Canis lupus familiaris: one gene and its partner. The protein of the gene in region 2 binds, or shares a complex with, the protein of the main gene of each other region. Links are inferred from orthologs where the notes say so. Each region holds a gene or a part of one and is shown on either strand. Other genes may lie near its edges. The genes, in order: HOMER1 and GRM5.

What was found.
Region 1: the proteins of GRM5 (region 2) and HOMER1 are in contact, whole or in part, in a crystal structure (PDB 1DDV), measured with the Rattus norvegicus proteins. The link is inferred for Canis lupus familiaris from reciprocal best matches to the Homo sapiens genes GRM5 and HOMER1. Residues at the interface, in XP_006229721.1 of Rattus norvegicus: Thr1155, Pro1156, Pro1157, Phe1160; in NP_113895.1 of Rattus norvegicus: His12, Phe14, Trp24, Thr70, Ser71, Gln72, Lys73, Phe74, Gly89, Phe90.

What each region holds. Positions count from the first base shown.
Region 1 is NC_049224.1:27,538,986-27,554,068, forward strand, and holds the start of HOMER1 (homer protein homolog 1), read left to right. Parts: upstream 1-4,986; 5' UTR 4,987-5,001; coding exon 5,002-5,105; intron 5,106-15,083. UniProt on the Homo sapiens protein: Postsynaptic density scaffolding protein. Binds and cross-links cytoplasmic regions of GRM1, GRM5, ITPR1, DNM3, RYR1, RYR2, SHANK1 and SHANK3.
Region 2 is NC_049242.1:11,064,206-11,079,593, forward strand, and holds the start of GRM5 (metabotropic glutamate receptor 5), read left to right. Parts: upstream 1-8,730; 5' UTR 8,731-8,921; intron 8,922-15,388. UniProt on the Homo sapiens protein: G-protein coupled receptor for glutamate. Ligand binding causes a conformation change that triggers signaling via guanine nucleotide-binding proteins (G proteins) and modulates the activity of down-stream effectors.

The DNA of each region.
Region 1 (15,083 bases), on a different chromosome or scaffold from region 2:
TTCCTAATTTTGTTCTCAAGGAGTACCTTGTCAAACGTTGTTGCCTTTCTTCTAATCCATTCTTCACATACAGCCACAATGATCTTTTATTTATTTATTTTTATTTTTATTTTTTTTCATGATGATCTTTTAAATATAAATCGGATCACATACTACCCATAGTGTCCCATTACTCAAAGACTAATACCTATCCTTTCTATACCTCATTTTATGCCATTCTGTCCTTTGAGAATCAGTATGGCATTATTCATAGCATAGGCTTTTGCATTCGACTGCCTGATTGTGTAACTTTGGGCAAGTCATTCAACTATTTTGTGCTTCAGTTTTCCATGTATAAAATCAGTATTTAAGAATACCTACCAACAGGATTGCAATGATTAAATAATACATATGAGTCACTTGGAACAATGCCTGTATAACATAAATACTGAGTGTTAGCTGTCAGTTGCTGCCGGTGTTGGTGCTGTCATTTCCAATATCTGTGTCTAAGCCACACTGTACTTTATAATTTTTGGAATTGCCAAGCTCTTGCCAGCCTCAAGATATTGCATGTTGTTCTGTCTCTTGGTATATAACAAACTGCCTAAAACTTAGTGTTTTAAAATAATAGCAGTCATTTAATTAGTTGATGAATTTGGAACATGGGATAGGGCTTAGTAGGAATGGCTTATCTCTGCTCTCTTTGGTTCTTGGCTGGGATGGTTTAACTAGAGGCTGTAATATCTACTTTTAAAGAGTCATTCATATGGTTGGTGAGGTAGTGTTCGCTTTTCACCAGAACTCAGCCAGGACTGGGCCTTGGTTTCTCTCCATAGGCTGATTGGCTTTACTCAAAGCATGGTGACCAAGTTCTAAAAGTGAGAGCCCGAAGAGAACCAGGCTGATGCTGAATGGCCTATTACAACTTAGCCTCTGAATTTACACAGTGTCACTTTTGCCTCTTTATTTTGGTCCAGACAGCCATAAAGGTCCATTCAAGTTTAAAGAAAATGGACATAGACTCCACCTCCTAATAGGGGGATGACAGGGTCCTAGAAGAAGGACAGAGTTACTGTTGTAGCCATCTTTGGAAAACATGTTTTAATATACACATGCTGTTGTCTGTGCCTGAAATGCTATTATACTCTGATTCTTACTCTTTAACCAGCTACCCAATTTAAATTAGTTCCATCTTCTTCCGTTCCTCTTGTGCACTCTCTTTCTCATAGTTCTTTATTTTCTTTGGCAACACTGATAATAGTTTGTAATTCTCTCCTGAAGTCCATGAAGGCTAGAGCATGTTATATACCTTGTATTAGGCATAAAACGTGTTGAAACATTAAAATGTATGATCAGTAACTTAAAAATTTTAATCCTGGGGCATCTGAGTGGCTCAGTTGATTGAGTGTCCAACTCTTAATTCTGGCTTAGATCTTAATCTCAGTGTCCTGAGATCGAGCACAAGTTGGGCTCTGTGCTCAGTAAGGAGTCTGCTTGAGATTCTCCCCCTCTCTCCCTTCCCCCTTTGCTGTGCACCCACGTGTGCGCTCTCTTTCTTCCCCAAATAAATAAATTAATTAATTAATTAATTAATCTTAAGAAAAAATCTTAACACCATGTATCACATTTCCAATAGGAAAAGCATATTCCAAACTTTGCAGAAGGAAGGGAACAGAGATACAGAAACACCAAGAGTCAGTCCTTTAACTTCTCATATTTCATGTCCTACTGCCTAGCCTGGGGTGAGGATGGGATGGAGAGGAGAAATGTATGTGTATAAATTTTGTGGAGGAGAGGAGATAGATGGAGTAAGCAGTTTGAATAGCTAAATCATAAGTACGTTTTCTCTTCCCTTATTTCTCTAGTTCATGGCAAGAGGCTTTTAGCTGGTTTGACAAAGAAGAATGATAGCCTAGGAAATATTCAGTACTCTCAGAGCAGCCAGATAGATGTTCTTTACTCAAGGTAACCTAACCACACACACCCTCACTCAGAACCAGTGTTCTTTCACTTTTGACACTTATCTAACAAATCAGTTACTGGGTTTCTCAGCCTCTTGGTGGTTGGGTAGGGGAAAAAAGAACAGATAGTGGGGTACAGATAATAGTAAGAACAGCTGTTGATATATCGGATATTGTAAGACTGGGAATAGTAATGTGTGTTAAAAGTGTCTACAAATTCTAAAGGCTCATTCACTTTAATGAATGAATTTCTCATTCACTTAAATACTTCCTTCATGCCACCTTGTTGGGTGTTGGAGACCTAAGAGTGAACAGAATGCACATGACTCCTGCCCCCATGGAGCTTGCAATCTGGGGATGGGAGTAGACTTAAGATGAGTGTTTGCAAAGTATATATTTTTTATCCTATTGACTTTTAATGTATATGTGTCTATATTTTAAATGATTTAAAAATTTTTTGTAAGTATACAGTTGGCTTTTGCTTAATATCCAATCTGATAAACTCTGCCTTTTATTTAATTTTATTTTCCTTTTTAAGGATTTTATTTGTTTATTTGAGAGAGAGAGCCAAGTACAAGTAGGGGGAGTGGCAGAGGGAGAGGGAGAAGCAGATTTCCCGTGGAGCAGGGAGCCCAATGCGGGGCTCAATCCCAGAACCCCAGAATTGTGACCCAAGTTGAAGGCAGACACCTGAGTCTCTGAGGTACCCCAAACTCTGCCTTTTAATTGGGGTGTTAGAAAATGTACATTTGATATCATAATTGATATGATTGGGTTTAAGTCTGCCGTTTTACTTGTTTTCTGTTTGTTCCATCTGGCTTTTTTTGTTCCCCACCCTCATCTCTCTTTTGACTTATTTTAGCAGACTTACTTAAGTATCTTTTATGGCTCCTTTCATTTATTTTATAGACTTACTATATTTTGAGTCTTTTTTTCTTTAATGATTGTTTAGGGTTTATAGTATACAGTTGACCATTGAACAACACCAGTTTGAACTGCACAGGTTTACTTATATGCAGATTTTTTTCAATCACTACAGTACTATAAATGTGTCTTAACATTTTGATAACATTTTCTTGTTTCTAGCTTTATCGTAAGGATACAGTGTGTAATACATATAACATACAAAATATGTGTTAATCAACTGTTTATGTTGTTAAGGCTTCTGGTCAGCAGTAAGCATTTGGTTAACTTTTGGGGAAGTCAAAAGTTATACATGGATTATTGACCACACAGGAGATCAGCAGCCCTAACCTCTGTGTTGTTCAAGAGTCAGCTGTGTAACTTATCACAGACCTTTGGATGGTATTGCATCACTTCACATATAATAAGAACCCTATAGTAGTATATATTGTATTATCCTCTACCTTTGTGCTATTGATAAACATTTTACTTCTCATATAACCCCACAATACATTGTGATTACTTTTTGCTAAAACAGTCAATTGTTTTTTAAAGAGATTTTAAAATTAAGGAAAAAATAGTATATTTACCATTTTTGATGTTCTTCATTCCTTTAAGTAGATCCAAATATGTACATGTATCATTTTCTTTTACCTGACACTTCTTTAATATCATCATCTCATAGTACAGGTCAACTGATGATGAATTCTTTCAACTTTTGTGTGTCTGAGAAAATCATTTCACCTTCACTTTAAAAGGAAAATGTTTTTTGAGATAAAATTCACAATGCATGAAGTAACCATAAACCATTTTAAAGTGTATAGCATTTGTTACATTCACAGTGTTTTGTAAACATCGTATCTGTCTAGTTCCAAGCTTTTTTCATTATTGTAAATCTGCTTTCATTTTTGCAGAAATTTTTCTGGGTAGAGAATTTTTGATGAGGTTTTTTTTTTTTCCTTTCTTTATTTTTAAGATGTTTTTCTGTCTCCTGGTTGATAGTGTTTCTGATGAGAAGTCCGCTGTCAAATATTTTTTCCATCCCTCCCATCTTTGAGGACTTCAGGTGCCATTTATGTGTCTGTTTCTGTTGATTGATTTTTGCGCTGATAGTATTTTTAAGTGTTAGATATTTAGAATTTGTTGATTAGGTGCTGAATTTTTGTATTTTTAAAATATTCATTAGAGGATCTAATGAAAGAAGTAGGATTTTTTTTTAATATTTATATGGTGATAATTGCATATGGTGATAATGCTTGTCTTAGAGGAAGTAGAAAATAGTGTATTAACATGACATAACAAAAGTCTATAACTTAAGAGATTTTGAGTTGGTTACTGTGTTATTCAGAAGTAAAGAAAAAGGAAATTTAAGTTTTCATTACAAACACCATTCACTTCTTTGGAAATAGTGAAAGTCATGGGCTTTGGATTTAGTCTTGCATTTGAATCCCAGAAATACCAGCACTAGCTGTGACCTAGCTTTGTGTTAAACTCCCCCCTCCTCCAATAAGTCTTTTTTTTTTTTTTTTTTACTCTTTTTATCTCTTAATGTTGTTTTGAGATGAAAATGAGTGTGTATGTGTGTATACATATATATATATATATATGTTAATATAAGGTGTTTACATGTAATAGGAATTCAACAAAATGTTGTGTTTTCACTTCAGCCCATCCTTCAACTGTTTCATTTTTGCAACAATACTACTTCTGGATAACACATTGATTTGAAGTTTGGTGAAATGGGGAGAATAATAGTCACTACTCAACTATACTTGTTATTCTTAAGCAATTACTGTAACTCTTCCCATAGCAATAATTTGTTATTCCTGAGCTTTAATTTTTATCAAATTACACTCAGTTGAAGATACCCAGTTGGTAAACAAATTGCCCAAAAGTGCTTTAATATTTTCAAAATTGCTTCTATTAAGATTTTATGCTGTTTTTCAGGAATTCTTCCCATACTGAGTCAACCTATTATTTGAGGAATAAAATCAGAAATTTATTTTTAATAGAATTTAGAATAAACTAATTCTGTAAATGGAGAGTTAATAGATTTTAACCGGATGAAGATTTGTACCATAGTCCTTAATCCATGGTTTCACTTTCAGTGGTTTTAGTTACCAGCAATCAACTGTAGTCTTGAAGCAGATGTGATGAGATGAAGGTCCATAGTAGCCTAACACTATGTCACAGTACCTACAACATTCACCTCACTTCATCTCATCACATAGGATTTTATCATTTCACATCATTACAAAAAGGGTGAGTACAGTATATTTTTTTGTGATAGACCATACATCAAACTTTTTTACAGCATTTTCTCTTTTATTATTAGTTATTATTAATCTCTTACTGTGCCTAAGTTATAAATTAAACATACACACACACACACACACACTCACACACACATACACACACACACACACACGGAAAAACAATATATAGGATTTGGTACTATCTTTGGTTTCAGGCATCCAGTGAGGGTCTTGAAACACTTCTTGCAGATAAGGGGAGGACTACTGTGTCATCTGTTATCATGTTAGTCTCCTATGTCTGCTGTAGCAAAACAAAGTTGGTGGCTTATAACAACATGGATTTATTTTGTTAAGATTCTAGATGTCAGAAGTCCAAAGCCTGTTTTACTGAGGGTGAAATCAAGGTGTCAGCAGGGCTGTAGTCTTTCAGGAGGCTCTAGGGGAAAATGGTTTCCTCCCCTTTTTTACCCTCTAGAGTTAAACTCCTTGCATTCACAGTTCATGGCCTCTTCCTCCAACTATAAAACCAGCAGTGTATGCATCTTCCAGTCTCTCCCTCTCCTCCCTTTGTCACATAACCTTCTTCTGGAGTTAAATCTCCTGCTGCCACTTTCTTATAAGGACACTTGTGATTACATTTAGGGCTCATCCAGATAATCCAGAAGAATCTTTCCATCTGAAGAGCCTTAACTTAATCATAGCTGTGAAGTTCTTTTGCAAAATAAAGTAACATTCGCAGATTTTAGTGTTAGGACCTCCATATCATTGGGGGCATTATTCAGCCTTCCACAGTCTTTGAAAGGGGATATCAATAAATCCTATTTTTCAAATGTTAGTGTTTTTATGCCATCCTATATTTCAAAGCCTGTTGGCTTACTGAAGTCTGTTAACTTCTCTTTTCTGTTGACTATTTTCAATTTTACCTGGTAAAGTATGTTTTTTCTGCCTATGTCAACAAATATTTAGTTGTGATGATTCACAAGAAAAACTGTCTTAAAAGTCACATCACCGGGGAGCCTACGTGTGGCAATTGAGCCTCCGATTCTTGGTTTCAGCTCAGGTCATGATGTCTCAGGGTTATGGGATCGCATGGGCTCCCTGCTTAGTGGAGAGTTCGCTTCTCTCACCCTCTGCCTGTCCCCCTGCTCATGCTCTGTCTCTCAAATCCTTTTTTTTTTTTTAATTCACATCATTTTTAGGGAATTTATAAGTGGTTTCTAAAGTAGTTCTTACAACCCATTTTGCAGAACTTGTTCTTATGGAATTTAGCCTTTCTGATTATGTATGTGTGAATTCTGTAATAGCTCAGATGGCTCTTATTGGAAGTATACACAACTTCCCCACAGTACAACTAGCTAGGGACTTAATTTTTAAAACTGAAAGGGAACATTTCCCTGGAACAACACCTTTACCCAAGGTGAAATATTCAGTGAAATGCTAGAAGGATTAAATCTTTAGTAGATGTTTTTGCCACAAAAAAGAAACCAAGATAGGGAAAACAATGGGAAGAAAGTAGAAAGTATTTTTGCACATGTACAGCTCCTAGTTTGTTAAAATATACATTTTCTTCCTATCATGTAATCCTTTTCAGAAATACCATATGTGATGAAATTTAGCCAGTGTCTGAAACAGATAGGAGATAATTTGGAGTTCATAACTTCTAGTCTCAAAGACCAGTGCTTTCCCCTCACACAGGCTAACATTATTATTGTTGTTGTTGTTGTTATTGTTACTGTGATCTGTTACAGAGGTGGAACCATTCTGTCAAAATACAGATTAGAGAGTTATGTTTCCTTGCAGAAGGAAAGCTCAAGAACTATGATAATTGAGATGACTAAAAATAAGTTATTGAATCCTTCCAAACTACACTGTCATTCCAATGAAGTCTTAAAGTACAAATTGCTTTCAAAATACAAGTAAAACATAAATGATACCAGTGAACATACATACATTCCATGAAAACAAATACTCCCAACAGTGCTTAACATGCACAGTAACCATAGTTGTGTAGCATACTATCCCACTTCTGTCAACAAAATTAGAGGGAAGGGCCATGCAAACATTTGGTTACAGCGTGAACTCATGACAAAAGAATTATTTTCCCATCCAAGGAGTCACTATAGGGTAAAGTTGGGCACTCCAGAGCTAAATTATATTTGTGTGCCAGCTCTACCAAGTGTTATCTTGAGCAAATACCACTCCATATACCTTAGGTTCCTCATCTTCAAGAGAGGAATAATAGTACCTCATAAAGGCTGAGAGGATTCAGTAACACAGGGATAGCAGTTACAACAGTGTCTGACCCTATGTTTAGCCTTCAAAAATGTTAACTATAACCAAAGAATTTGCCATATACGCATTTATAAGTTTAAGCTTTTGCTTTCAGGTTTGAGTGGCATATCTGAATTTCTCATTTTGAATTATCCAATCTATGGCTTTCCTCCTTCGGCATAAATGATGGAAGCCGTAATTTGTGTGCTCATTAATTGATACAAGAGAAATTGTTGAGAGTTCACATCATACCAAGTGCAAAAGGTTAAAAACTGTCAACTTTTTTGTCACTGACTTTTTAAAATTCAAAAGCTAGTTTTTAAGCTACTCAGTTTTTATGATATTAAATCTGTAAGCTTTCGATTTATACAGAGAATTTCCACTTATTATCAAAAAATCAAGAAAATGGTAAAGCAGGACAGTTGAAAATAGTGTTGAAAAGAAGCAGATGAATAGATAGATGATATCATTACTGAGTAAAAAACAGAACATGGCTGAGTTTCTTGGCAAATGAGCCGAGAAGTGTGTTGCATTGTAGTCTTACTTGGATATAACAGCCATAGATGAATTTTTCCCTTGCATGGTCATAGGAGATACTGAGTAACATCAGGATTCAATGGGAGTTTCTTTTATCAATCTGTTAAGAGATCTAAGGAAGAACTACTTTTTTTTTTTTAAAGTTTTATTTATTTATTTGAGAGAAAGAGAGCACTCAGGAGCTGGACGCTGGAGGGAGAGGGAGAGAGAATCCAAACCAGACTGCATACTGAGCGCAGAGATCCTACAACCGTGAGATCATGGCCTGAGCTGAAGCCAAGTGTTGGCCACTTATCTGACTGAGCCACTCAGGTGCCCCTCAAGGAAGGACTTTATTTATTTATTTTTTTAACATTTTATTTATTCATAGAGACACAGAGAGAGGCAGAGACACAGGCAGAGGGAGAAGCAGGCTCCACACAGGAAGGCTGACGTGGGACTCGATCCCGGGACTCGAGGATCACACCCTTGGCTGAAGGCAGCACTAAACCGCTGACCCACCCTGGCTGCCCAAGGAAGGACTTTAAATCTTAATTCAGTGTAGGCTTTTAAGATGAGAAGAAATTTGCCTTCTGGCTGTGTTACTAATGGGGTTTAATCTTATAGAATTTAGAATAGTTAACAGGTTCCTTAAGCAAATACTTTTGATATTTCTGCCAAAGTACCTTAATAGTAGAAAAGAGTATCATTTAGGATACTAAGGATAGGAAGGTATCTCTTTTGTGGTATGACTTAGCTTATAAATTCATGTGAACTTTTCATTCTTTTCCATAGTCTAACCATATTTATTTCTGATGTGATTTTTATTACCATGATGTAAAATGTTGTGGGGAGACTTGCTGTGCTCACGTTGCTGTTTGTAGTACTCTTGTTAATACCACTTCTCTCCCTTTTCTTGAGAAATAAGGCTACTTGTTTTTCTCAAATGTCTCAAAAGAGCATTCAGTTGAGACTCCGGAGCTCTTTCTCACATGGTGAGAGGCTCTTTCTGACTGGGAGAGATTTAACACTAGGTATTCTACTTTGCTCACTCTAGAGTATGGCTTTTATGGAATAACTGAGAACTGGTTCCAAATAGTTGCACGAGGCAACCTTAATTAGATTCCTGGTATCATCCACTTAAAAATTGTGAAATGTCTGCCAGACATGAAGGCTTCAGTAGAATTGGTACTTTTTCTGTTTGTCCATTGGTTCAGCTACTATTTGTATTTAGTTAATTGATCATGATATTCTCTTCTATGTTGGCTGGGAGAACCAGTTAGGAAACTTTTCCAGTTTGAGATGAGTGGCTTTCTTAGAATTGGTATCTTACGTGATTTTGTAGGACAAGCTTGCTGGTTCAGAGTGACACAGGAAGTTATATTATTTGTTATTTGTTGTGTAAGATAATTCTAGATATCATTACACATCATAAGAGAATTTTGAGCAGACCTAGTTGATGGAGAAACTTGCATCAGTGGGGATTTGTGGCTGATTTGTAGGAAGTATTCTATGGGCAAGAGTATTCCCAAATCTATTATTTGCTGGATGAATCCGTTATCAATAGGGCTATATTTTTAACTGTCATTTACGTTTTTTTTTTTTTTTTAACTTAAGGCCTATATTTAGTAAAGGGTGCAAACATACAGTTCATTGAATGTTTACATATGTATTTATCTGTGTAATCACCAAGATAATATTCTACTACTTACATTTTTTAAAGCAAGCAGATACATTCATTGCATTACAATTGTTTGCTTAAACTTTTTTTCTTATTACAAGTACAGTGCATGTTCACATATTGAAAAATTAAGATTAAAAAGTTGCTTATAAATCCCATAATCAAGAACTCTGTGTGTTTTAGTATACATTCTTTCATTCATTCACTCATTCATTCATTCTTAGGTGCCTAATGTGTGCCAGGTATTTGGGTTGCTGGGGACATAGCAATAATCTAAAAAGACATAATTCTTGCCCTTGAGGAGATAACATTCTTGCCGCAGGAGAGGGACAGTAAATAAGAAAACACATTGGATGTCACATGGTGATATGTCAGGGGGGGAAGTCAAAAGAAGGGGTCGGGGGAATAGGGAAAGGAGCTGCAGTTTTTCATAGAGGAATCAGAATGGCCTCACTGAGAACATAATGTTTGAGCAAACAGCTGGAAGAGGCAAAGAAAAATACTAGACAGATTTGGAGGGAAAGATCACTTCCTTCAGGCAAAGGCCCTGTGGTAGGCAGTGGTGGACATGTTTGAGAAACCCCAGGAAGGCCAGTGTGGCTGGAATAAAAGACAAGTGGCAAATGAGGTTGGAGAGGCAGGGGCCACATCCTGTAGTGGTTCTTCCTCCTGGCTACACAGGAGAATCACCTTGGAGGCTGGGTGTTTCTAACGCAGCCAGGGTTGAGAAACATTGGTAGAAGGCCTTTAGACCATTTTAAGGACTTTGGTTTTTACCATGAGTGAAATGGGAAACCATTGGAGGGTTTTGAGGAATGACTCACCTGATTTAGGTTTTATTATTTTAAAATATTATGAAAATAAAACTTTCCTGAATCATCATCCCACCTGCTTCAGTAGCCATCTCCATTTTGCTTTAGTTAATATACCCTCACCCCTCCCACCCTTTTTACCCCCCAGAGTATTTTAACACTAGCTTAGGTTTTTAGAAGGATAACTGGTTTCTGTGTTGAGAGGAGGACAAGCAGGATGAAGGCTGAATATAAGTATATCCTCTGTGGGGTTTTTTTCCTTTTATATTCCTTTTTTTTTTTTTTTTTTTTTTTTAAAGATTTCATTTATTTATTTGACAGAGAATGAGGGAGCACAAGCAGAGGCAGCAGCAGAGGGATAGGGAGAAGCTGATTCCCTACTGAGCAGGGAGCCAATGCAGGACTCCATCCCAGGACCCTGAGACCATGACTGGAGCTGAAGGCAGATGCTTAACCAACTGAGCCACCCAGGCACCCTTTCCTGGATACTCTTAAACAAAAATTAAATTATACTGGATTCACTATTTTATAAACTATTTTCCTTGACTATATTAGACATGTCACTGAATAGTCAATTACTTTGTTTTTAATGGCTACATCGAATTTTATTATATTGGCTGCACCTTAATTTATTTGGTCTTACATTATTGAACATTTTAATTTATAACCTTTGGTAATCAGACTATGTGGTAATACAGCCCTTTAGCTAAATCTCTGCGTATACCCATGATTATTTCCTTAAGGTAAATTCCTAGAATGGAATTGCTATGTCAAAGGATATGCACAAAAATTTAAAGGCTTTTGATATGCATTGTCAAAGTGTTTTTCAGAAAGGGTTTACTAATTTATACTCCCACCAGCTGTTTCTGAAAGTGTCAAGTTTTCTTAAACTCTCACTAACATTGAAATCTTTCATTAAAAAAAAAAAAATTCCTGTTTTGACAGGTGAAAAAATAACTCATGGTTTTAATTTGCAGTTCTTTGATTTCTAGTGAGGTTGAATTTTATTTCCATTTGCATTTAAAAAATGCTTATTCGTATCATTTGCTGATTGTGTTACTTGGGGTGAGTCACTTAGGACATGTTTTTGTACTATGAAATGGGTATTGTGTGCCAGCTTCTCAGAGTTTTCACAAACTTTAAACAAAAGCATTTTGTATGCCCAGGTTTATAAACTGTTTGACTATGATCCACAGTAAAAAACAAAAGGCATCTTACGTTGCAACCAGCATTGGTAAATAAGTAGCCAAAAGTTTTATGAATAATGCTTCTACTGTATCCAAGTGAGATGCACTCTGACACTTTACATCCTTGTTCTTTTTTAAAATGTCCACTGTTAACCTTTAGTTGATCATGATCCTCTGGGTTGTGATGCAGTGTTTAAAAAAACACTGCTATAAGCTGTAGAGTACTGTATCTTGTTAGGTGCTTTTCTATCTACAGTGATTACCTCTACCAAATACCCTGAACGTCAGTCTGCCCTTTAGCTCTACCAAAATTCGCTTCAGAAAGGCTATAAGTAGGAGGTAAGACTCCAAACTTAGCTTATTATATTCCTATATCAGGTTTTTCATCAGTGAAAAATACTAAATTTATTCACACTCTGAAAATGTACTTGTTTGGACTTCTATAATGCCATAATGACTGAATTATTAACATGGCTGTTTTGAAATAGATCTAATGCATTTGAACAAAAAAACCTACATCATTATGGGGATTGTATTTGCAAAACCCCCAATTGAGACATAGCATCTGACAGAAGTTTTGTCTATAATTTTTGGTACCTGAAAATCTGACAAAAGTGGGAAATGCGAATCACATTTAGCTATATTTAATACAGCTCTTTTTCAGTAGAACAAATTAGTGTATGAAAGTTGAATAGTCCTGAGAGACTAAGAGTATGTGGCTTCCATATATAAAATCCAGATACTATTCTAGCTAACCTAAGTGAGGACCACTCAGAAAGGAATTAGCCAGGTGGAATTATTAGCTGTGACTGGAGAAAACTCCATTTGATGGGAGTGATTCTTTCAAGTCTGAGGAATGTTGGAATGGAAATTGCATAGAGAAACAGAGTGGGGATGGGGTGATGGTGTTTACTATTTGAAAAACACCCAGGAGTTTAACCTATTTAACAATAAAACCTTGTTGTTACTTTTGACTTGTAGTTTAACATTAAATTTTTTTTTAAGATTTTATTTATTTATTCATAAGAGACACAGAGAGAAAGAGAGGCAAAGACACAGGCAGAGGGAGAAGCAGGCTCCATGCAGGGAGACTGATGTGGGTCTCTATCCCAGGTCTCCAGGATCACGCCCTGGGCTGAAGGCAGCGCTAAACTGCTGAGCCACCCGGGCTGCCTGACATTAAATATTTTGTTTAAAAAATATTTTTTGATGCTAAGCCAGGAAAATTTTTAAAGACTCTAAGTTAAAAGTTTGACTAAAAAGCATTTACTACTCCTCTGTTCACCCCTCCACAAAGGAAAAATTTTAAGGAAGGTGAGAAACAATTTGGCATATAAAAATTAAAACTAAATTTAATACCAAGGAACTGTAATTTACCTTTGAAAAAGAGCAGAATATATATGCCGTTTCTATACTCTATTGATTTTCAAACATTAAATGTCATCACATTTAGAAAAATAAGCAACTCTGCTTTTCTGTACTTTAGTGGGTGTTGACCTTAATTAAGTGTGCATATGTGGTTAGAATTATGAGATTTCTCTTTGCATATGGTTTGAGTGCTGAATTTTGGATTCTGGTCTCTTCACTCTCTGAAGCTAAAATTAGGTTTTAAACAAGCTCAGAAATAAGTGTAGAAATCTACTGGGCTCAAATGGGCCAGAAATATATGAAGCATTCCTCAGCCTCACTAGTAATCAGGGTTATGCAAATGAAAGCAACAATGAAATACCATTTCATGCCCATCAAGTTGGCAGAAATTAAAGCTGTCACTTGGACATTATCAAGTGTTGGGAGGAAATAATCTAAGACTATTAGAATATAAATTGGTCATGTGCTGTGAAGAACAATTTGGAAATATGCTATGGCGCATACTCTATGACCAGGAATTCTTCTAGTGTATCTTCTTGCATGTGTGAACAAGTAAACACACAGGGGCATTCTTTGTAATAGTATGAAAATTAGAACCTATGTATGTCTATCAGTAAGGAAATAGCTACATAAAATAGTCCAATATTTTCCAGTTGAAATACAATGTGAACATCATGTGCAATTTAAAATTTACTCCTGGAGTGCCTGGGTGGCTTAGTTGGTTAAGCGTCTGCCTTCAGCTCAGTTCATGATCCCAGGATCCTGGGATGGAGCCCTGCATATTGTCTCTATGCTCAGTGGGGAGCCTGCCTCCTCTTCTGGACTCTACCCCCATGCTCTCTCCATTGCTTTCTCTCAAATAAATAAATTAAATCTTTAAAAATAAATACATAAATAAATTTAAAGTTTTAAAAAGGTAATATCAATTTTAATACATTTTGGCACATTATACCAAAATATTTATCTTTTAAACGTGATTAATATAAAAATCATTGGACTATTTTACATTCTTTTTTCATACTAAGTCTTTGAAATCCCTTATGTATTTTGCACTGAGAGCATATCTCCATTTCGATGCTAAAGTTTATCAGAAATACTTGATCTGAATTTAAATTTCATCAAAAGTACAGTTGAAATAGTAGATTCATGTAACCAAGTTGTTCCATACATGCTTAAATGTATTTAAATAACTGACTTGGGTATCAAAAATCTAAGCTGATTCACTTTCTCAATTGCATTAGCTGTATTTCAGATAATCGGTAGTCATGTGACTAGTAGCTACCATATTGGACAGTGCAGCTCTAGTGATAGCATAAACTATACTGCATAGCAGTTAAAATAAATGATATACATATGTATAAAACATGGCTGATGATTCAAATTTCACAGCATCAGTAAAAATTCTAGAGAAATGTGTGGTTTAATGGTTTGCTTTGAGCAATTTAAAATACTATTCACAATAATACATGGAATAATGTAATATTTATGCAACCACTATTCAAATATAGCAGACATTAACATTTTGCCACAGTACCTTCAAATCTTTCTCTTCAGTCCTGAATTTATTTTTTATTTTATTTTATTTTATTTTATTTTATTTTATTTTATTTTATTTTTTAATTTTTTTTGAATTTATTTTTTAAAATATCCATTTCAGATATTGTATGAATTGAGTATCCACTTGATTAGTTTGTAGTAGGTATACAGGAGAAAAGTACCAAAGAGTAATACTGTTCCTTGAAATATTGGTGTTAGAATTCAAGTGGTCTTCTAACATTTAATGCATTTGAAAAGTTTTTAGGAATTGGATGTCTACTAGAAAATTATTTTAGATTTTTAGGAATGCACCACCTGTTTTAACCAGAATTAAATTCTTAATAAGAGGCTATTCGCTTTAGATTTCCCTAGTGTATATTTTCAGTTCTTACTATTGAAGTTCTAAAAAACATATGCCTGCTATGTTTCTGGTTCATCACTAGATGGAGTTGTTGTAGTGCAACTATGTGTTGGGTGGCTATTAGTAGAATAATCTTTGCTTCTCTCAAAGTAAGCACGTATTGTTTAAAAGATAACATTCTCAACATCTACACAATCAGCTGTTAAACACATAACATGGCAATAGAAATACATAGTTGATAATACGCAGTTAT
Region 2 (15,388 bases):
GGTGGGAACCTAAATGAGTTACTATGGATTAAAATGCTTACTAAATTATGCCAATAATAGCGAACATTGCATGGTAACTATGTGCAAGGCACTGTTCTAAAAACTTAACAGTAGTTAATTCCTTTAATACTAACAGTGGTCTGAGGAAGTAGTTACCATTCCTCTCTGACTACATTATAGATAAAGAAACTAAAGCACAGAAAGTTTAAATATTTATAACAAGCAATAAGCAACACAAGCAAGAGTCTAATCCACGCAGACTGCCTTCAGAGATTGTGCTCTTACTCAGGGAGTACCTACCTGGCTTCTCATCTTCAGGACTTACAACTAATAATGTGTTGAATGCTTGCCATATGCCACTATCTGTATTTTACAAGTAGAGCCTATTGGGTTTTCACAACAAACTTAAGGAAATTCTATTTCACCCATTTTACAGATACGGAAGTTAAGGAGGAGAATTGAATGCTTTATAACCTCCACTGTAGCACATCAATGTTCTTGATAGAGCCACAAGCCTAGCACAGCTCAACCCCCCTGCTAAATCTTGAAGAGACGTAAAAACCAAGTATTCAGTAAAATAAAAGAAGGTATCACTTCATCAATTTTCAAGTTTCTGGCATTGCACTGATTACTACATAACTTTAAATTATTGACTTCAGCTTAATAAACTACTTATAAGAAAATGAAACATTGGAAAACAACAGAAAGCTCCTAAATCACTCTGCTGAATGTTAGATATAATGTTAGATTTTAAGTGTTTAGGACTCCATTTATTTATTTATTTATTTATTTATTTATAAATTTTATTTATTTATTCATGAGAGACACACACAGAGAGAGAGAGAGAGAGAGAGGCAGAGACACAAACAGAGGGAGAAGCAGGCTCCATGCAGGGAGCCCGACATGGGACTCGATCTCGGATCTCCAGGATCAGGCCCTGGGCTGAAGGCAGCGCTAAACCGCTGAGCCACCCAGGCTGCCCTGACTTCTTATATTTAAATGTATTAGGAATAGTTGCAACAGTTGTATGCATACCATTAAGAGCATAATTGTCTTTTATGTATCTGGTGCAAAGTTTCCAGGCATTCTATAAAGCAGTGATTCCAAACCCTGTTTTGAAGGATAAAATCTTCCGTGTATCTTGGTCATTTTAGGGCAAAAAAAGAGTAAGCTTCAAGTTCCAAGCTATATGCCTACTGCTTTGCCCATTCTAATATACAGGATGTAAATAACTGGAGATTGAAATTAATGAATTCTTATTTGCATCATTATCATCACCAAATACTATGTACTCATTATGTTTCAGGGATCATACAACTGCTTCACCCCAATATTGCTTATCTTAGCCGCAACATGACTAGAAAGATACTATTCTCTGTATTTTAGAGAAGGGGAATAAGAAATTCTAGTCAATATAAAAAGATAACTCGGAAAGGAATTTTATTTTGTTATTTAAGACCCTAATAATCTAACACCATTATCAAAAATCTTGCCTATGCACACTTTTGTACTGGAACAATAAAGCCAGATTGTAAAGTAATATAAGAAAAAAAGAACCATTATTTGCTTGAGATCTCTATAATACTTTTTGGTTTGCAAAATAACTTTATATATAACCACGAAAACAAGGTATTTTTAAAATTATATTTCCCATTTTCTCATTACCACATTAGGAAATGAGGTTTTAAGGTTTAGTAGCTTGCCCAATCCCCTCTGGCCCAAGAGGCCAGAGCCAGTTTTAAAAGTGTGAATCTGTTGGGCTTGAAATCCAGTAGGCACTATGATATACCCTTTGGGTTGGGGCTCAAAGTCTAATTAGATCTGTTTACTCGCTCTGGGCTTCCAGGAAAGTGTTTTGTCTATTATGATGACAGATTTAAGCAGGGCCAATGATCACAGAATGGAGATCAGTTCCTCTGTGTTTGCCACATGTATGTCAAGAACACTGGTTGAACAGGACTTTGTCCTAGAAAACACTGAGTGAAATGCTTGTAGTTTCTCAAGTACTGGGAAATAAAGCTCTTTTATTATTATTATTATTTTGTACCCAGTATCAGACAAATGAAAAAATTCCCAGGGGCATATTCTAAATCTGGCCTGCTTGGAGACTAGAGAGATAAGTAACACTAGACTCATAAGTTACAACTTCTTTGAGTTAAATTTCCATCTTTTGCCTGGAACCTAGATTAAAATTTTATATAAGGCCATGTAATATGAAAAAGGCTTGTATCTTTGTTGTAAAATTCTTGTTGAAACCTTGGGTCTTTACGGACAATTTATATAAGGGTCTATATAGTAATATTATTACTAACAAAATTTTTTGAAGAACAAACTCATTTTCTTAGATAATAATAATTAGGTAAGACATCTGCCCTTTTCTTTTTGTCTGCTAGTGAACTCATGACTAAATATTTTCTGTTAGACCACAGATCCTACACTGAGTAAAATTACTGGAGTTTTTGTCACCTCCTCTTTCTGCATCAGTTTCATTTTCTATTTCTAAGGACTTTTATATATAATTGCCTTGTTCGCATTTCGAAAATAGGCAGTTGAAATTCATTAAATAAAATCTAATAAAATAACAACCTCCATCTTGCAGTTCAGCAAACCAAGATATAGTGAAGGTTTTCTAAGCCTTCATTGACACCAATGTCTTTTCAGTTTCTAAAACGTGGCAAGTGTTCTCCTGCCTCAGAAGTTCCAGCTGTTGTTCTCTACCCCTATAAACCCCTTCCTTTCTTCTCTTCCTCTGATCAACCATTCCTTCCCTCCTCCAAACCACACAAACACAAACAAACGTGCAACATTCTTTGCATAGTTGACTTTTATGGATCTTTTATCTCTGAGAGAGTTATTTTTTATGCTTTTTAAAATGTTCTATGCAAAGATATCCAGGTCCTTCTTCATGCCATGCTGTTCTTTATAACTTGCCTTGCTCAATTCTAATGAAAAATTGCCCCTCCCACAGGTTGCAAGACATATTTGTTTGTGTGACCCAATCCTTACTTGACTTTAAGCTCCTAAAGACCAAGACCAATTCTAATTCATTCACCATTCATCCCCAATACTTAGCCATGCCTGGTGCATGGTAGCTTAATAAATACAAAATAAATAGTATGAACAAATCAATAAACACATATATGCTCATATACACATACTTAATAACATTAGGTTTTCTAAAGTCCAGCCAGTATTTTGTTCATTCTATTGCAGTTCTTTTTATAGTAACAGGCAAGGAAAAAAATGTTTGATGAGTTACCATTAGAGGAATGAAAATAAATTCACTTTGAGAAATTATTTTAAAAGGCTACTTATAATCTGATATTTGATGGATTCAGATAACCAGATAATTATGAAACATTTAGGATTACAGTAATCCTTTTGGAGTACAGAACATGAACTGGCTAAGTCTAAGAAGCACAAATATAAATACGGAAGAGGGTAAGAGGTGGGGAAGTATGTCCAGGTTGGGCACAAGTGCTTTCACTCAGTAGTCTTGCAGACCTGCAAACATTCATATGACTTACCATCAGTGATACCAACTAGGAATATGAAAGACAGTGTGTACAATGTATACCTCTATTCACATATACATTTAAATATTAAAACATATATATTAGGTTGCTTCTATGTGCTAGAATTTTCTTCTGAGTGCTTGGAATATATCAATAAAACAAAGATTCCTTTCCTTGAGGAGTTTACATTTAATGGGAGGGAGGGGAATAGACAGACAATCATCATAACAAATGAGTAAATGATATAGTATACTGGACTGTATTAAGAGCTATGAGGGAAAATAAAACTGAATAAAGGGGATCAGGGACCCTGAGATCATGAAGGAGAATAGTTTGTAGTATTAAGTAGGGTAGTCTAGGGCATACTTATTTGGGATAAGATTTGAGGAAAGATTTGAAGGAGAGAATTTAGCCCAATGATTACCTGTGAACAGTGTATTCCAAGCAGAAGAAACAGCTAATGCAAAGACCATTAGATTGGAGCATGTCAGGCATGTTTAAGAAATAGCAAGGGAGTCCTGGCGGCTGGAGCAGAATGAGCAAAGAAAAGGGAAGAGTACTAGGAAATGAGATCAGAAAGGTAACGGAGTAGGGAAAGATTATGTAGAGTCATGGTAAAGACTTGGGTCTTGACTCTGAGTGAAATGGAAAGTTACCAGAGGGTTTTGATTTAAGCTAACTTCTTTAAAAAAACAAAAACAAAAAAACACTCTGGCTGCCGTGTTGAATACAGCCTACAGAGAAAGTGAAGAAGCAAAAAAGACCAGTTTGGAAGCTATTGCTGATAAAAGATGAGAGTAGTTTGATTCAACACTGTTTCCCAGAAGATGGTTAGAAGTGGCAGCATTTTGGATACATTTCAAAGGTAGAGTCATTTTCTGACCAATTGCCATGTGTGAGAGAAAAAAAGGAATCAATGAAAATTCCGAGTTTTAAACTTAATCAGTTATAAGTATAAATAAATTTTTCATTCCTTTATACTATTCTACATAAGATTTACAATATATTGATTATTAATAGCTCATCCTAGGCAAAAGTCGTACCTTCAAATGTTTTACAATCAAAAGTTATTTTGGAGACTCAAAACGTTGTTTCTTTGTTCCTTTAAATTTTAATTTAACCTAATTTAGCACTTGACCATTTTGAGGTAAAGCTATATTGTAAAATGTCACCGAGCAATTCAAGATTATATAATTGTGTTTTCCTTCTCAGCTGAAAATATCACTATTGTTCAACATGGGGAATGTCCTTTGCATTGTAACTTTTAGAGCATATGAAGTGGATATGTCTTTTTTTTTTTTTTGGATATGTCTTAATAAACTATGTATTCCATTTATAGGGTGCCTTATCATTTCTGACAATGCTCTGACATGTCTTATCCTATCCTCTCCACAAACCCTGGCAGATAGCAGGGCAGAAAATATGTGTAAGAAATTGAAGAGTTTAACTAACTGAGTAGCCACTGTGAGAACCCCTCTTACTTAGGTTTAGCCCACTCACTGATGTGCTTTGAGCCAATTCCAACTGACCAAGAAGGATAGGAAACCTAATGGGTCCTATGCTCACTCAAAGCTAAGCGGTCCAGGCCATGATTACATTTATGATCTCGTCCTTATCATCAGTCCCCCAATTGGGCTAACAAATCATTCTGTACATCAAACTTGATCAAAGCTCCACAATCAGGGAGCCACTAGTTCCCCTTCATTTTCCTCAGAACTTTCACTATTTTTGTATTTTCTCATCTGTACCATCTTTCTCATCTTTTTTTTTTACTCAGGAAGATCAACCACGGCTTTGCTGGCCTGTCTGCAAAGTACCAAAGCTTGCTTCCTGGACTGCAATCAAAGAGCCGGAGAAATTAACAATGCCACCGTGAGAGCACACAGGAAAGAGGGGAGAAGAGAGATGCCATTGTCAAGATCAACAAGGTGTGGCGGATAACATGTCTTTTCTCTCGTTGAATACCGACGCTATCAAAGAACAACTTGCTTTGTTTTCAAGGGTCTGGTGGGAAATGCACATTAGTAGGGGATCATCAGGACCAGCCCCCTCAACTGGAGTATCCTCAGCTCTTAGTCTTTCATCCAACGGCGGCAAGCACCTGGCTTCTAAAATTCAGCTTAGGGAAATATAATGGGAATAGTCATAATCCTATTGCTACAATGTCTTTCTTTTCTTTAAATTAAGCCATGCAATTAATTCATAGCAATCTCGTCTTCAGAGGCAGACATGAGGTCTGGTTTTGGAATTTAAAGATAACTTCAGCATTTTTTTTTTTTTTTTTTTTTTTTTTTACAGTCTTGGTAGTTATGGGGGCGGTGGGGGACGGAGAGGAAAGTCATTCGAGTAAGTAAAACATATTCACTACGGAGAAAGAAATTTTAATGGATATAGAAAGAATCGTTTGCGAGACGTGCAAACGCGCGCTGCCGTCATCGAAGACTGTTCTTTCTTAGCACTCGCCCTCCGGGTCGTCCTGGGGTCCCCGGCTCTCCGCACCGTCGGGCAGCGGCGCCCCTTCTCCCAGGCGCCGTCAGGGCTTTACGCGCCCCGGCCCGACAGCAGCTCATCGCGGAGCGGCTCCGCCAGCTGCGCGGCACCCACGGCGCCCACGGCACCCCCGGCACCCACGGCGCCCACGGCACCCCCGGCACCCACGGCGCCCACGGCACCCACGGCACCCACGGCGCCCACGGCACCCCCGGCACCCACGGCGCCCACGGCACCCACGGCACCCACGGCGCCCACGGCACCCACGCCTCCGCGCCTCCACGCGCCGCTCTCCCCCTCCCGCGGCTCCCGGGGCGAAGCGGGGACCTGCACAGGGAGCCCAGGGCAACTCCCGCCCGCACCCCAGGCTCCGCGGCGCCACGAGCCTCCGCACCCACCGAGCCGGGGCCGGGGTCGCGCCCCCGCCCCGCCCCGCCCGCCCCCGCCGCGCCGCAGGAGTAGGAAGCGGCCCTGCGCGGCGCTGCCAGCGGCGTCTGCCCGAGCGCGGCACGTGCCCCCGGAGCTCGCCGAGAGACAGCGCCGCCGCCGCCGCCGCCGCCACCGCCACCGCCGCGGGCCCCGGGGCCGCTCCGCCCCCCGCCCCCGCCCCCGCCCCCGCCCCCGCTCCCGCCGCCGCCGCTCGCGCTCCAGCTCCCGCCGCGGCCGAGGCCGGCACCCGAGCGCAGGAAGCCCGCGACGACTGCCGGGCTCGGGCGCGCACCGGTAAGCACAGCGCGGTCTGCTTTCTTCCAGCCGGGAGTCCCCGCCGATGCCGGAGCCGCCGGGGCCGCCGGAGCCCCTCCCCCAGCGCGGGCGCAGACAGCCCGGCCCGCAGGCGAGGGCGGGAGCGCGGGCGACGGGCCCCGGGAGGGCAGCGGCGGCAGGTGGAGCCCCGGTGGGGCCAGGGACGCCACGAGGTCCTGCAAGTTTGGAGAAGTCAGCCCGCAAGGACGTGTGCTGTGTGAATCAGACACGAATTTCTAGTCGGGAGCCCAGACTGCCGCGGCGTCGCTCCAGTGAGAGGTTTATGAAGATCATTTTGCTTTTATTTGCATAAGTGAGGGACTTAAGTGGGCTCGTTTCCATAGAAAACGAACTAAAAAAAATCAGAGGAGAAAATAGAGATCTGAGCCAAAGGAGGCGTTTGGATTTCTCTCTCTCTCTCTCTCTCTCTCTCTCTCTCTCTCTCTCTCTCTCTCTCTCGCATACCGATACATGTGCACAAAAGGGTGCATAACAAGGGAGTGTGTGTGTGTGTGTTGGGGGGGGGGCTTATCTATCCTTGAGACCCTTGGGTGTTTGAGGGCTAATAAGAGCATTTGCTAATGCTTTACCTTGAAAGGAGGCAGCAAGAGAGGGACCTGGTTGGGTGTGAATGCCAATGTTCCATTTCTAAAATGACACTTCCATGACTGCACTACAGGAGGGAGAGGTTTTCTAGAACAGGGGGCCATTTTTAAGGGGTACCCATGTAACTCCGGACCTGTAAGCTCAGGTTCGTGTACTGCCAGTGGGGATAAGGAAACATCCTTACACTAGATTTCTTTATGGAACTTCGGCAAAGGATGGGGTCAGAGGGAGGGATGGGTGGGGTTGGGGGAGGAAAGGGAGTTGAGAATGAGTGAACGGGGCGATAGAAGGAGTGGAAGCCTGGAAGTCAGGTTTGACATAGCACTGTGTTAATTCAGTCCTATCCTGGGTAGTTCCTGGGTTGGTCTTGAGGAAAATGTGTGACCTTGAAAAAAATCCCTTCGTGTACTCAGTTTCTCCATTTCTGCAAAATGTAGACATTCTTCTTTGTTTGAGGACACTAAAGTTCCATAGAGTAGTGTCTGTCGATGATCATATGGGTTTTTGGATCTGCATACAAGGAAGAAAGAGCACCTAGAAAATCCAGGTAAATGAAGCTTCAGGGCATTCTCCCTCAAAGTACCAAAGACATTTGCAAGCTCCTGGCTGTGCACTTGGTGTAATGCATGCTGAGAGGTCTGTGGAAATAGATGAGAAGGACAAACAGACACTTAGACTCTAACCAAGGGAACCTAGAGTTCTGAGTACTGTTTGGAGCGATTCAGATCCACAGAGCCTAAAGTCACTTGCTTTTTTAAGGTAGCAATTAAAGGATGTGGTTTGGTGGCAAGCTGTGAGATTCTTTGAATCTGAGGGTTTGGGAAATAATCTGGAATTGATTGTAATACAAGGAAAATGAATGGCATTTTACTTTAAAGGTTGGGCACTCCAGATGGCAGGATGGTTTTAGAATGAGATCTGAGAATACTGTGATCTGGACAGAGGGGTTAGGAGGGAGAGGAGAATGGATATTCTTCCTGAGACAAGGGTTCCTAGACTCCTAGGCATCTGCCCATTGTCCTTGACACCTCTGCCACTTGTCCGAGGAGGGCACTGGTACTTTTTTTCCCCTCCATGCAGGCACATTCCTAGACCTCAGGGATTGCATCCCAGGTACTGAGGTATGAAGGTGCATATGGGAAAACTCAAGTCGTAGGGGTGCCCCAGATCCCCTTATCATGTGAGCATCTGGCTTCAGAGCTGGTTCACCCATCCAGATTCGACCCGAAGTCTGTGTTCCTAAAGGAACTCACTGTGCCACTTGGTGGCACCAAAAAGTTGCGCTGAGAACTCTGTTCTCTATAAATACAAACTACCACCCCTCCCTCCTCCGCGAGCTCCCCTTCCCCCCCTTCCCCCCTTCCTCAGTAGCAGGGAGATTGCTGCACACGCCGCCCTCAGCTCTGCTGTTCTGTGCGCACTGAGCGCAGGAGATGAGCTTAAGATCTTCTTGGTGGGGAGCCTGGGAATGGAGAGGCCGGCTCTGCCCCGCTGATCAGCACAGCCCAACTTTATGGGGGGCTAGCTAGACTACGTCTCACTGCCAGCTGCGCGGCCAACAGGGGGGTAAGCTTGCTAAGGGTCTGTGTGCCCAAGTGTCCCTGTGCCCGGGAAGGATGTAGGAGCTATCAGCTTGCTGGATAGCTCACAGTTGGTTTGGGAGTGGGACGAGCGTGGAGCAAGGCTGGCCAGACCTCGGGGTTGAAGTCCCCTCCGTTTGCTGATGGCCTTAGTTAAACCTGTTGGGAGAAAAGGCGAGAGCAATGAGGTGAAGGAGGGAATGGCGGCAAGAATTGAGAAAGGGATTCTGCATGCCTTCGGATCCGAGTTCCCGCTCCCTAAGGCCAGGTGCGCGTGCTTAGAATGCAGATTGTGCTGCCCCAAACCACCCCAGGGCTCGGAATTGAGAGAAGCAAAGGTGGAGAGGGAAGGAAGGAGAATCGCTTCCCATTAGATCGGTAAGATGCAGCGACTGTGGTGCCTGCTGCAGGAAGAGGGGGGACAGCGGGTGGTGCTGAAAGCACAGCTCTTTCACTCAGGCTAGTGTGCTTATTCCTGAACCCCGGTCTGCGTCCTCCGGCTCTTTCCTCTTCTGTGGATGCATCTTTCCCTTCCAAAACACAGCCTGCTAGTTACCCAGGAGCGGCAGCATGAGCGGTGTGCCGAGGAGGGATCTCAGGGTACAGCCGCTTGTGGAAAGAACCCCAGTCAGGTCCATGAACTAGCCAGTGACCAGAACCTAACCCCGACTTGGGACCTCGCAAAGGGAAGAGTCTGCCTGGAAGACTCTTGGGATCGGTGCTGGAATTTCCTACTGCCCTCATTTCCCTGCGGAGCGGGTGCTGTGGGAAAGGGAAATTGAGGAGAGGTTAACAAGCACTTTTGCTTATTTAGGCATAATCCTGGTGCTGCCTCAGCTGAACTGTAAGCTTGAGTAACCAGGCAGATAGATTCTCCAACACTTTACTTCCCGCTTAGAAATGGACTCAGGCCGGTAGGAAGGCAGCATCTCCTTTCCACCTCTTTCTTCATTCCCTACGTATTGTTTTATTGTTCTGAGTCCCTTGAGGCTGGGCCAGAGCTAATCTGTATTCTTAACATTGGCTTCTGGCCATTTGAGACAGCCAAGTTAACATTGCCTTTTACTATGTTCAGCCTCTTCCCCCAGTGGGGCTAAGCCAAGGTTTTCTGTAGAATCCTCTTAGTTATACAACATTCTAGACATTCTTTTGAGTTTTGGCATGTTCGGGTATGCTACCTCTTGCTGGGTGTGCTTTGTGCCCCTCATTACCGTCATAGAGCACAAGGAATTTTCTTCTTTAATTTCTCTTTTGTGTCTATGAATTACACATTTAAGAATCAGTTGTAATGACTTCTGTCCTTTATAGATTTAAATTTCTGTTTAAAAGGATGTTTGGTTTGGGAATTGAAAATACTGCTTCCTGAACTAATCAGGTTGATACACATTCCAGTCTTCAGCCTTCTCCAGCGGGGACCTTTTCAGCACTCCGGACAGATCCTTCAGGGTTTCTTAGAAGATTGTGGATAGAATACTTTCCACATAACTGCTTCTTTTAAGAGAAAAGCTTTCCCTAGTCATTTATACTCTGCTTGACAAAAATGTATAATCTGGATATTTTCATCGCACCACCTAGATCTCTGTTATCACATGGCAGTATTTGGGCCATGGGTTGTACCCAGAGAAAAACCAAATCCTGCAATATTGATTTGTTGAAGGACATACTGAGATTATTTGGGAGAGAGGGTGATATTTGAAGAACCCAAAGTACTTGCCCAGTTCTTCAGTTTACTTCCATAGGGAGACACAGGCCTCTGCCTTCATTTCGTAGTCTGTGATGGACATGGTAACAGACACTAAAGTGAAAACTTTGTTCAACCAGCACAAAATATGTAGTACTTGTGTGACTGAAGGGTTTTAATAATTCTAACGTTCTCATTTTTGTTCAAAACATATTAGAGATTTTATATAGTCTTATATTTTCTTTTGTGGAATTTTCAGAGCATTTTAGATAAGAAACTAAAATAAATGCCAGTAAAGCATAGGTAAAAATACAGGTAGAAAATATGAGATAGCACTAAAATCTTGAAAAATTTTGTACTTATTTGTAACCATCTTCTTCCAGGCTCTCTGTCCTAATGGGGTGAAGAGAGAGATGCATTCGACGATTCTTCCATATACTCTTTGTTATGTTATTTAAATAGAGTATAAACTAACTTTATAAAATAGTGAAGACTATCTTTATATATATATATATATATATATATATATATATATATATGATATGCTAAAGCTAGTTTGTTGGTTTGGAGTTTGGATATGCTGATGGTGTATTACTACAATGCAGGAACATCCCACAGTTTATAAATATGTGTTATTTTAAAAATTCAGAGAAATGTTAATGATAGTCCTGAAACATCATTTAGTTATTATTTTCATTAATAAGTGGAGCTTAGGAGGGCATAAGGGAAGAGCATCAAAAGAAATATTTTTTAGTTCGTGATTGCTTGTATAACCCAAGAAAATAAAATCAAAATTTTTTTTGGAATTTTCAACTATTTGTAAAAGACAGTATCTTCTTGGTATTTATCTCAGTTAAAACATAGTTCTAAAAAACATTATGCCATAGTCTTGCTTTCATTTCCTTTAAATTCGCAGAGGAAGACAAAAAAAAATCTAGAATTTACCAGTTCTCAGCTTGTTTGAGTTATATGTACCTTGAATCAGAAGGGGAAGGAACCAAGCATAAGTCTTGGTTCAGGCTCATCCTTGCTCCAACGACTACCCTTTCTTGAGTACAGTGGGCATCATGCCAAGCATTGGTGTTATTTAATCCTTATAACAATTGTGCAAGGCAATATTTGTTCTTAGTTTCCTATTGTGAAAACGGAGTTGGTTTTTTTTCCTTCCACTGTCATATAACGAGGAAATGGGAAAAATAAATAAATAAATGCACACATCTCATTTGCTTGGAAATCAAACTTACCCTCTTTCATTACATTAGGTAACCTTAATCTATGGTATTGCTAAACACCATGGAATTGTTTCACTGTGGTTTCCAGTAAGTTGTGGTATGATTGGGAGGGCAGACCCCTACACAAGATTGCCTGAATTGTAAGCCACAATCCCATCTTTGTGGCTTACTAGCTATGTAACCTAGGGTGAGATATTTAACATTGCTCTGCCTCTGCTTTCCTCATTTTAAAATGATGAACGGGGGGGCACCTGGTTGTTAAGTCAGTTAAGTGTCCAACTCTTGGTGTTAGCTCAGGTCTTGATGTCAGGATTGTAAGTTCAAGCCCCACGTTGGGCTCCAGGAGAAACAGGTTGTAACACTGTAAGGCGCATTGTATAATCACAATGAATTAATTGTACAAATATAAGCAAAGTTCCAGACCCACAATGAACAGTGTAGAAATGGTAGTTATAACTATTAATCCCATCCAGGCCTTTGAATATCAAATTCAGCGTTCCCATGTTACTGAATTTAATTTTCGTAGCAATCCTGTGGTTGGTACATAATTGCTGTTTCAAATTTATCTTCCTTTATTTTCATCAAACTCGTTAAGAAATTTAAAGGAAATATTTAGATGTGAAAAAATGTATTCTATGTAAATATGATTCTGTTGGTTTTATTTTATTTTATTTTATTTATTTTTTATTTTTTTTTGATTCTGTTGGTTTTAAAAACCATTGGGGCAGCCTGGGTTTAGCGCCGCCTTCAGCCCAGGCTGTGATTCTAGAGACCCGGGATCTAGTCCCATGTTGGGCTCCCTGCATGGAGCCTACTTCTCCCTCTGCCTGTGTTTCTGCATCTCTCCTCTGTATGTATCTCATGAATAAATAAACAAAATCTTTAAAAAAGATATCAGACCTATGAATAATTTTCTAATGATCAGCTTTCACAGTAACTCTGGCTATTTGCCATTGCTCTTAAACTTGCTCTTCAACTTTATGCTCTTAAACATAAATGTTCTGAGGAAAATTAAAAGATCATAATCATAATGGTGCTAGTGGGCACTGTAATAATAATAGTAATAATAATAATAATAATATAGCCTGTTTACATTTATATTTTACAGAGGAATAATTGAAAAATATTTCTTAAAAATCAATTTGCCTTAATATTCAATGATGTCATCATACTTTTTAAAGACAGACAAGAAGGTAAATAACATAATTATTCTTTTAAAAATAAAAACGACATTTTGAAAAACCAACATGTAATTACTGTATAAGATGTTCTTTATCTTGTTAAAACTAAAATGAACTTTATATTTCATACTAAAAATAGTCTTTGAAATGATAACAGTGTATCACAGGATACTCTTCTCATTCATTTATTACAACTTATGGCTACTTAGAATCATGCTTATTTAAAGTAAGGCAATATCCTTCACTCTCAAGGTTTAATCTGTATTTCTCGAATTGAAATTACAAGCTTCAAAACAATATAATACAGCCAGAAACAAATTACAAAGTAAAGAAGGAACAGGAAAAACCTATTCTAAACTACTCTCCTTAAATTATTAGGATGTTTCAGGAAAAAGTTTTGTGGGACTGACGAATCCAGATGATTAGCTCTTAGTTGTATTCTTTTTTGATGCTTATATAAACCTTGCCAGGATATAAATCAGCAGTTTTCAATTGGGGATGACTTTGACCTACAGGGGACATTGACAGTGTCTGGAAACATTTTTATTTGTCACAACTTAGAGGAGGTATGTTTGCTATTGGCATCTGGAAACCTGGGATCTCCAGAGATGAGAGATGCTGTTAAACATCCTACAATGCACACGACAGTAAACCTCCACAACAAAATGTCAACAGTGCTGAGGTTGGGAAATTATGATCTAAATAACTATAGGAAATAGAGTTACATCTGTTAATTTAGTTGGTTTGTATGGCTTCTAAATGTAGTTGACTGGCATACATAAACTTTAAATGGAAAGTAGAGAGTCTCCAGAATGTTTTGCAAACAATGTATAAGGTTTAACCAGCCAACCCACTTGGTCTTTTGGGAGACATTATCATCTGATTATGTTTGAGTGTGGGCTTTGGAGCCAGAGAGAGTTGGGTTCATATCCTGACTCTGCCAGTTATTATAGTATGAGACTTCTGGCAAGATTCTTCACCTTGTAACCTCAATTTCTAGAGATATTTAACGTAGGTAGTAATCATACCTACCTCACAGGGTTATTTTGAGAACTTACATTAAATAATGCTTTAACATTATTTAGCACAAAGCAGGCACCCAATAAATATTAGCTATTAATAAGTAAGTAGAGATCGAGTTAGAAGTGCAAAAGCACATTTTCAAGCACCTGATGATAAGTAATATAATATGCACAATAATGCTTTACAGTCTTTCGAGGTATGCCATAAATAACAAGAAAGCAGCTGAAGGCTGCAAAATGGGAAGATGCCTGGAATCCCTGCTTGATAATTAAATTGAGACTAGTTAACAGTAGATTACATCATTTTTATTGCTTTGCTGTAGAAGGCTGTTTCAGGTCTTCATGGACTACTAAACCAGTTGTTTAATGATTTACAGTGATCTACAGTAAGCTTTATTCTAGTGCCAGCATCTTTTAATTAATGCATAAAATTACAGATTTCACTTTTATACAATGTTATTTTATAGCCCTTTTCTGGTTTTTAGGGGGTTTCATTGAAAATATGGCATATTTTTGGATCTGGGCTAAACAGAGAGGGTGCTGGACTTTCTTGTTTACAAGGTCACAGATGTGTGCTTGAGATAGCTACAGCAGTGGAGCTTTCCTAGACTATAAGCTCTCAGTATCATACCTCATAGTGTCTCTTATCTCTGGGATGCACTTGTTTTCAGGAAAATACATCAAAGGCATTCATGGCATAGGCAATATTGACACCCCTGTCTATTTGGGATGACGCTATTGCTCAGGCAGAAGGAATCATTTTAGTGTTGATGTCTCGAACTGTGTGATTTTCTTGTGTGGGGATTAAGTTATATAAGAGACATCTGTGCCAGAAAGATGGCCAGTGTTTGAGAAGATTGTTGAAAATAAAAGACAATGTGAGCTGTGAATCTGGTTACAGTGTAAATTGCCATTTATGCAAATTCTACCCACCAACATTTTTTCTTCATATTCATTTAGGATACAGTAGGAGGCTGACTACCTAGGCAAAATACTTCTATACATATTAAATATATGTCTACTGTTTTCTATAGTGGGGTAGTGATTAATTTTATTATGCTGTAAGCCAAGAAATATATTATTGAATAAAGCAGACTAGTGGTTCTGAAAATAAGACCCTCAACCAACTTATTATATGTTAGACTATGTAAACTCCTATCATTTCCTGCTTTTGATTGAATTAAAGCTTTCCATATATTAGGTTGTAGATCTGTAGCATTTTGAAAGCTCTTTAAATCACTGTATTAGTTAATTCCGCCTCCTGATCTGTAACAAGAACCTCACTTTTTCTTTTCTTTTCTTTTTTTTTTTTTTTTTTTGCTACCGATCTATAACCT